Cricetulus griseus: one gene and its partner. The protein of the gene in region 1 purifies or fractionates together with the protein of each later gene. This does not show direct contact. Links are inferred from orthologs where the notes say so. Each region holds a gene or a part of one and is shown on either strand. Other genes may lie near its edges.

Region 1 (4,350 bases):
CCTCAAGCTATAGAGATAAGGCAGTGGTGGCACACAACTTTAATTCCAGCAGCCAGAAGCTAGGATGTGGTGGTACACACCTTTAATCCTAGGACTCAAAATTAAAAGATAGACAGATCTCTCTGAGTTCAAGGCCACCCAGGAATACACAAGAGTGAATCAGTCTAAAAGAGAATTATAGCTTACACCTTTCTTTATTCCCAACATTAGGGAAGAATATGACAGAAACAAGGTCTCAAGGAGCATTCATTCTCCAGCCACACTGAAGAGAGGCAGCAATTTGAGACTTGGTACAGAGTTTATGAGTGGATTAGTCCTTTCAGCCACAGTCAGAGCTAGAGGTGAGAGATAGTGGCTGGCGGCTTTGCTTTTCTGTTACTCGGCTTGAAGTTTGAGCCCAAATATCAGTCTCTGGGTCGTTTATTTTTCGTGTTACATCTTTGGAAGGCCTACAAGGGCACAAATATTTTTACTGATAATATTATCTAGAAATGGAAAAAAATGTCTTTCACTAAAGAAGGAAACTCATTCTTCAGCAATATGTTCAAGGGCGTTTTTGCATTTCTTTAAAAAATTTAAAGTTTCAACGACCCTAAACTTAATGCCTAGATCATAGTATAGTCCTAGGGACTTATTTAGGGAACAGTTCAGAGATTCTACAAAGGGGTAAAGCTTTGTGTTCATTGTGTTTATCGATGTATATTTTAGAAATTCCCCACGTGGCTTAATTGAAAGCATTCTTTGAATACTGAAAAAGTTAAGTCAGACTTCAACTGGTAGACACCGCTTGAGAAAGAACCTGATACATAGACACAAACCAACAGTGAGGGCCAGCTTGCTAAAAACCACTTTAGACAACTTAACCAGCATCCTTGAGGGTGTCAGTATCCAGCTGAGAAGCAAAGCCCCAAGAGCCTCTTTCACAAAATATGTAAATAGAGGCGAAGGAAAAAAACCCAGAATCCCTCATCTCTAGACTCCTTGCTGATTCTAGCAGAGGGGGACAGCAGGACCCTGGCAATTATTATACTTGCAGAGACAAAGAAGGACCAGGCAACTAGTGCCCATCCTTTTAGCTGAGTGGGTTAGGAGACAGATGTTAGAATGGCTTGGGGTGGGGGTGGGGGCAAGAGAAGTGGTAATCTGTTTTGTTGGCTTTACGTGGGGCTTCCCCAGATCTACCCAGCGTCACGCCGGCCCAGCCCTGCGCACTGGGAGGACGCAGCGGGCAGCCGCATTGGCCTCTGCGTCATGGGGTGGTGGGGAGGAGAGGCGGCTCCCAGCCTGCAGACCTGGCTCGATCCTTGGCGCCGGGTCCCCGCCCGCAAGCACCTCCTCTCCCCCCGCAGCCTGTCGGGGGGCCACAGCACAGGCAAGCTGGGCACGTGGGAGCCTCTGTCACACCCTCACTCATACACACGCGCGCGAGCGCGCGCGCGCGCACACACACACACTCACTCACACACACACACACACACACACACACACACACACACACACACACACACACACAAACACACACACACACACACAGAGAGAGAGACCCACACGCACACAGACATATACATACACACAAACACACCAAAACACACGCACGCACGCACGCGCGCACACACAGGCTCCCCAGGAACCGCGCACCAGCATCCCGTGCCATTTCCCTGGCAGGCACAGGCGCTCACGAGTCTCTTGCTGCAGGACAGCGACTCCCGAAACCAAGCCTGCCCTTGGCAAGCTGTTTCTGCTACCCAGACAGCTCCCCTGTGGCCTCTGGCACCATCTCCTGGATCCGACCATTTCTCGACCTAGGAACGTGGAAACAGTAAGAGGTGCTGGCTAAAAAAGCATCAGAGGTAATGTCGCGCTCTGGGGCTGGGGCATCGCCAGGGGTAGGGTGGGGCTGTCTCTTAGCCACCCAGGAGTCAGGCGCCAGGAAGAGCAGCAGGATGCTTGGATGGAGCTCCAGAAAGACTCAGCATCGATCCTGGGATGGCAGGAGGAAGGGCAACAGGAAACGTGGAAGGGTAAAGCTGGTTTCTGAGGACATCCTCTGGCTCTGTGTCTTGCACCTGTGCAAACTGGGGCTCCGGTGGTGAGGGTCCAAGGTGGCACTTGTGCGGAGAAGCACGTGGGTCAAAACGTGCATCCACCCTTCCTAACCTGGGTGGAAACTGCCTAGTGCATCCGAGGAAACGGGCTTGTTTCCAAATCAAGTTGGGGTTTGAAGGGCAGGGTTTGACAAGGGGAGGAGGAAACTTGGTGTCAGGGCAGAGATGCACTCCCGAAGTAAATTGGAATCCAGTCCTCATAAGGGTGGGAGGTAAGGCGGGAGAGCAGCAAGCCTCCTTCCTGGGGGCTTGAGGATCATTTGCCACAGTAGCACAGTCTATCAAGGCAGTGTATTCGTGACCCGGATTCAATTCTTTCCCGCTGGAGGCATCCTGTGATGGGCTGTCCGAAAACCGGCTTTTAGGCACGTGGCTGCTGAAGAAAGCACATCTTCAGGCGCCTCTGCGCATCCTGGAATTGGAAAGTTACAGAGGATAGCGGAAAGGATGGTGGCACTGGGAACTTAAGGAACGGCTGGGGAAGGACTGGGCATCCTTAAGCCTTCTACGTAGTTCATCCACTTGGCTGGTCTGTGTGTGACAGCGCAGAAAAAATTGGATATATAGGAATGTTGTACACTGGAGTGAAAGCTGTACACTGTTAACTTGAGCGCCACAGTCTTAAGCGAAGGAATGAATATGAATCCCTTTAGGGATACTTGGTGGGGATGTGGTGGGGGTGGCAAGAGAGACCCCTCTTTCAAGGGCTCCAAGGGAGGGATGCTTTTTTTTCTTTTCTCCAGTGAGCTAGCGGCCTTGAAAGTGCTCTTTAACATAGCTAATCTGGCTTCTCTTCTCTCATCCTCCACCCTAGTGGAGAAAGGCTGGAGTAAGATTGGGCGGGGCCTAGAGGCTAGCGTGGTGACGTCTAAGTGTTTGGGTGCTTATGCAAATAAGACTGTAGCCGTTGCCTTGGGTCCATCCTGCCTGTCTCTTCAGATCTTAAAGGTATCCCCATTCCTAGGTCTGAATTCTTTTTGCATACCTGAGGCTGGCTGGGGGTGGGGGTGGGGGGAAGAAGGCTTTGCTTTGGGTGCTCCATTTAGGCTTCTTTTAGCCTTTTCTGTAAAAGGTATTTTATAACTGCCAGTGCTTGGTTGCTTTCTGGAAAGCCAGGATCAGAGCAGTTCCATTAAGCTTCAAACGCTGAAGGCCCCACTTCATAATTACGTCTTATTAAATACAGACCTAATTGCATCCTTCTCAACTTTCTTAACCTAGAGTTGTTTAGGCAGTTTATAAATATTTGGTGTAATGAGGTTTTTTTTTTTTTGTTCATAGACAATATGTGTATTTCTCTCACAGTAACTCAAATGATTTTTGTATTATCCTACCAAGTTTAAAAGTAAATTAACAACAACAAAAAAAGAAAAGTAAATTAACTGACCCTCCAAGTGAAACTTTGAGTGCATTCCTGTTGTGTTGTTGGGAGAGAAGAATTAACAAATTTTGAAAGGAAGTTAGTATCTCCGTGTTTATTACACACTACCTAGTTGGCTTAAGAATCATTGTAAAATTCCGATATCTATAACCCAAGTTGTGGCTTTTAATGGGGTTTAAAAGGTTTCTTATACACGTTTCTGGGAGACAGGTATTTTGCCATCTAGTTAGGGAGTTTTAAAATTAGGTGATCTAGCTTTCTGGAGATAGGCAGGAGGCCTTTTTATAAATTATTGGAACATCTAAAAATAAATCAAAATAGATATTACAACCTGAGCTTTATAGTTATAATCACACACTTACCCAGTCTTAGCATGTGCTTGTTAAAAGATGTTTCTGTCTTAAAAAGGTACAAAATAGGAGATACTTCAATGTTTATTTAGACTCTGGTGTTATATGCAGCCAGTTTAAAAACATTGTCTCCTTAGAATGGCAAAACTAAAAGAGTTCCTCCCCCCCCCCCCCGTGGTTATTACAATCTCTAGTTTTGGTTTTTTTCTTCATTTATCATCCAACTTTTTTTGAATATTATGTTAATTCTTTACCACTACATATGCATGACTGGATATAATAATATATTAATATGCAGACTTGACTTTGAAGTGATTTCTGAGCAGATGGCATTATTAAAAAAAAAAAAAAAAACTCCATAGGCATAGTGCAATGCATGGAAGATATCCAGTTTTCTATGGCTAGAATCTTTTGACTTAGTCTTGGTTTATTAACAACATTACTCTTTTGCTGGTATTTAGTAGTTCTTCATGAACTTCTTATGCTTAAATGTCAGCTGTGATCAGTCATTATT
Region 2 (4,149 bases), on another chromosome or scaffold:
AGATCCACCTAATTCTGTCTCCTGAGTGCTGGAATTAAAGACATGTGTCAAGCCGGGCCTTGGTGGCACACACCTTTAATCCCAGCACTCGGGAGGCAGAGGCAGGCGGATCTCTGTGAGTTTGAGACCAGCCTGGTCTCCAGAGCGAGTGCCAGGATAGGCTCCAAAGCTACGAAGAGAAACCCTGTCTCGAAAAACCAAAATAATAATAACAATAATAATAATAATAAAGACATGTGCCACCACTGCCCTGCACAATTTTTTAAAATAATTCATTTATTTTATGTGCATTGGTGTTTTGCCCTCATGTATGTCTGTCTATGTGAAAGTGTCAGATGTTGGAGTTATAGACAGTTCTTATCTGTCATGTGGGTGCTGGGAATTGAACCCAGATCCTCTGGAAGAGCAGTCAGTGCCCTTAATCATTGAGTCATCTCTCCAGCCCACACAATTTTCTTTAAAATTATGTTTTATTTATCGTGTGTGTGTGTGTGTGTGTGTGTGTGTGTGTGTGTGTGTGTGTGTATCATGCCAGTGAACACCTATAGTCAGGTGATAAATTGGTTCAACGCCTACACCATAGGGGTCCAAAGACTGACAGTTCATGGTGTTTGGCAGCAGGCACCTTTGTTGATAGCTGTCTCACTGGCCCCAGAGGCTACATTTTGAGAGTGAGTTCCTGACACCTTTTCCTTCACAAGTTTCTAGTGGGGAGAGTGTGGGCAACTGGCAGGAGGTGCAGAGAGAAGAGTTTTCTTCTTCCTCCAGGACTCCTGGGGGTGGGGACAGCTTTCTCTGCAAAATTTGCTATTAACATGCTCCGTTCAGTGTGCTGGCTCTCCCCACTTTTTCCAACTCCAAAAACAATTCCTGACTGTCAACTGTGAAACGAGTTTGGTCCTACTAAGAAGAATTTAGAGCCGATTCAGTGATGGTCTGGACCCTGGGCAGTTTGCTCACAACTGTTCTCAGTGTCCCTTCTCAGGTTTTAATTAAAACTGGTTGAGCTGCAGTGGAATACACGTGCAGGATTATTTGTTCTTTGTTCTAGTAAGGGCTAGCACCATAGCGGCGGCGTGGGACGTGGATCCCGGGGAAACTCTTGCGGGTTGGGTGAAGGTTAGCATTTGCGCAGCATTTTCTGCAGTCTGTGCTCTGAGTGTGGGTGGATGCAAGGGAAGCTTAGGTTGGACTCTCCAGGGAGGGGAGTGACAAACAGCCCAGCCCCTCCACCCATCACTGCCCGCCCTTTTAAAAACGGGATCTGGTTATTTAGCCCTAGGCGGACTATTGGAACAGCCCAGACTCATCTCCTCTGATTCCTGGGTGCAAGTGTTGGAATTACAGTCCTGCGACACTGCCACTCCGGTCTTCTGGGTCTATTCTGTGCCAGGGAGGTGTTGGCAGGGTGGCTAAGGCGACTTGTGGAGAGAGAACGAGCGAGCTTTCTTCTTCCCTGTAAGATTCAACCCTGCGGCTGGCCAGGGCAGGAAAGGAGGTGTGTGAGGGCTCACTTTTGCACTGCAGTCTCCTCCTCCCGAAAGCCTTTCCCAGGCGGCCGTTTTGTACGCTTATAAAATGATTTTCCGTAGAGTCCGGGAGACATCAGGGGCCCATTCTGTGGGTGAAGATGGAAAGTCTGCTCCCGAAAAGGACCTTTGCTGGGAGTGCAGGGCACGGGGGCGGGAGGAGGGAGGCGGGGCAGAGGGCGGTGGCTCACCCAGGCAGCGGTGCCCCCGGGACTCAGTCGTGCCAGGGAGTTCCCAGTTGGGTGATGAGGGGGGTGGGACAAGGGCAGAGTGCAGTAAAAGAGCTCCCCGGCACCCGAAAGCAAGCCACCAGCTACCCGCATAGCCCGTAGCCCACGCAGAAGGTGCAGGGAACCTGCAGGGATCCTCACTGCCCGAGGGCCTGGGTGAGTCACCGCGGGGTTGTCGCAATCGCTACCCGGAGGAAATCAGGCCCGGGGTGGGGCGCGTTCCTGGTTGCCTTCGTGAGCTCTGATCTCGCCAGGGTGTCCCCTAGATCGCCAGCTGGGTCTTCTCGTCTGCTCCCTCTGCGGTGGTCACAACTTGGCCTGGGCCTCTAGTGGAGAGTTAGCCTTCGGGGACAACAGGGACCCAAGGGGAAGAGGGAAGGAGATTGCTGTGGTTCTGAGAGTTCTCCCTCCCCGCAGAGGTGAAGGGAGTGAGGCAGGCGGCGCTGAGTCCCTGGAGCCCGGCTCCGGGTCGGACGCTGTGTTTTCGGAGCTGTGCGGGACTGCCTGGGACTTGGATATCCCTCTACGGCCTTGGGATCTCCCGGGGACCTCTCCCGGAGGGCGTGCCGAGACATGGAGGGCGCAGACCTGGCGGTGAAGGTCCTATCCACCTGGCTGACGCTGGTGGTCGGTCTTATCGTGCTGCCCTCGGCCTTCGGATTGTCTCTAGGCATCTCGGAGTTCTACATGAAGATCCTGGTGAAAACGTTGGAGGTGAGTGCGGCGGAAGGATGTGAGCCCGGGCTGCTCTGAGAACTTAGGGAGCTGGGTGGCGCCTGAACATAGAACTGCCAGAGTCTTTTGAGCAAAGGGTCTGCTGTAGCGAGAAAGACAGTGGCTCTATTTGCCGGGAGAGTCGCACTGATCCCAGCCAAGAACAGCAGTCCACCTCACAGAAACCCTTCCACCTGGGTTCTGTCATCACTACTATTTTTTACTTACTAGATGAACTCTAGGCCGTTTGCTGCATCAGCGGATTTATTACCCATGCCTTGCAAGCTGTCACTTCCCTCTGGAGTTTTTACAGCCCCAGGTTTCAGAGGTCCTTTTGTGTCTACAGAGGCATCACGTTCCACTTCATGCCCAAGATAAGAAACCAATGGCCCGGTGGCAGAAAAAGAATCTGATTTTATTTTAGTGGAGTCTTGGGGGATTTATCATCATCATCATCATCATCATCATCATCATCATCATCTAACTTGGGACACTGGAATGCAAAGGTTCTTCTTTGGCCTCAGCTTGGTCTTGGGTTTGTTTCCAAATTCCCCAGATAGGGTGTTAGGACAGGCTTCAGTTGAAGTTTATAAGGGTCTTTAGTAAAATTCAGGCCTCTCCTTGTAGGGAGGCAAGTGCTGTGGGATGCTGAGTTGAAAGGTTTGTTTGAATTAAGTGTGACAAACAGCAGTGGTCTTAATGAAGAGAGGCCCTGTAGGCTGTACAGATTTGTCTAGATTTGGTACCTAACTCTCATCCCAGTTTCCCAGTATCTGATCTAGCAAGGTCATCTGACTCCTTCATTGTACTCATCTACCAAATAGAAGTATCAACACCTATTTGCATATCATTTTCATCTGTTGTCTGTTTGGTTTGGTTTTAAGACAGGCTGTCACTCTTGGAGCCCTAGCTGGCTTTGAAATTCTCCACTTACCTTAGGCTCCCAAGTTCTGGCTTTACAGACAGGGGACATCACACTTAGCTCTCCACATAGTTTTTTTGTTTGTTTGTTTTTGGTTTTGGTTTTTCGAGACAGGGTTTCTCTGTGTAGCTTTGGAAGCCGTCCTGGCACTTGCTCTGGAGACCAGGCTGGCCTCGAACTCACAGAGATCTGCCTGCCTCTGCCTCCCGAGTGCTGGGATTAAAAGCATGCGCCACCAACGCCCGCCTCCACATAGTTGTTTTTAAGAGTAAAAATACATAGGACAGGGAGCCCTCAGCAAGGTGGAGCCCTCTGCAAGGTGCCCGTGTGTGTTAGGTGCTCTGTGTGTTTGCTATGATTAAATGAATAGTATGGTTGCTTAGAGTCCCTGTCTTTGTTTCCCCAGCTTCTCTATTACCACCTACAGCTGTGCGTTATTTTTGGCTTGTGCTTTTTGTTCTCCCAAAGGACTTGGCGCTGTCCCTTCTTCCTTCATAGTAAAGGAGTGGCTCCTAGATATATATCTTTACCCCACAGCTGCCTGCTAACTAAGGTTTTCCTCTGGATTCTTGTTGGACTTTTCTTTGTGGCTATTTCTTTAATGAATCTTTGAAGCTATATTAGATTCTTTATCGACAGTCTGTCCCATTCTTCGACCCCCCCCCAAGATGGCATCTCACTATGTAGCTCAGACTGGCCTTGAACTCTGCAACCTGCTGCCTCAGGCCCCAAGCACTAACATAAGAGATGTGTC

The links. The genes of interacting proteins can lie anywhere in the genome.
Region 2: the proteins of Slc6a15 (region 1) and Gpat3 purify together in Homo sapiens (co-immunoprecipitation; 3 studies listed by BioGRID and IntAct, counting the BioPlex papers as one, with this or other methods). This does not show direct contact. The link is inferred for Cricetulus griseus from reciprocal best matches to the Homo sapiens genes SLC6A15 and GPAT3.

The regions. Positions count from the first base shown.
Region 1 is NW_023276806.1:168,536,014-168,540,363, forward strand, and holds the start of Slc6a15 (sodium-dependent neutral amino acid transporter B(0)AT2), read left to right. Parts: upstream 1-1,494; 5' UTR 1,495-1,850; intron 1,851-1,999; exon of another isoform or gene 2,000-2,021; intron 2,022-2,993; exon of another isoform or gene 2,994-3,053; intron 3,054-4,350.
Region 2 is NW_023276807.1:162,900,243-162,904,391, forward strand, and holds the start of Gpat3 (glycerol-3-phosphate acyltransferase 3), read left to right. Parts: upstream 1-1,293; 5' UTR 1,294-1,458; exon of another isoform or gene 1,459-1,498; intron 1,499-1,743; exon of another isoform or gene 1,744-1,915; intron 1,916-1,956; exon of another isoform or gene 1,957-2,176; 5' UTR 2,177-2,332; coding exon 2,333-2,473; intron 2,474-2,956; exon of another isoform or gene 2,957-2,979; intron 2,980-4,149. UniProt on the Homo sapiens protein: Converts glycerol-3-phosphate to 1-acyl-sn-glycerol-3-phosphate (lysophosphatidic acid or LPA) by incorporating an acyl moiety at the sn-1 position of the glycerol backbone.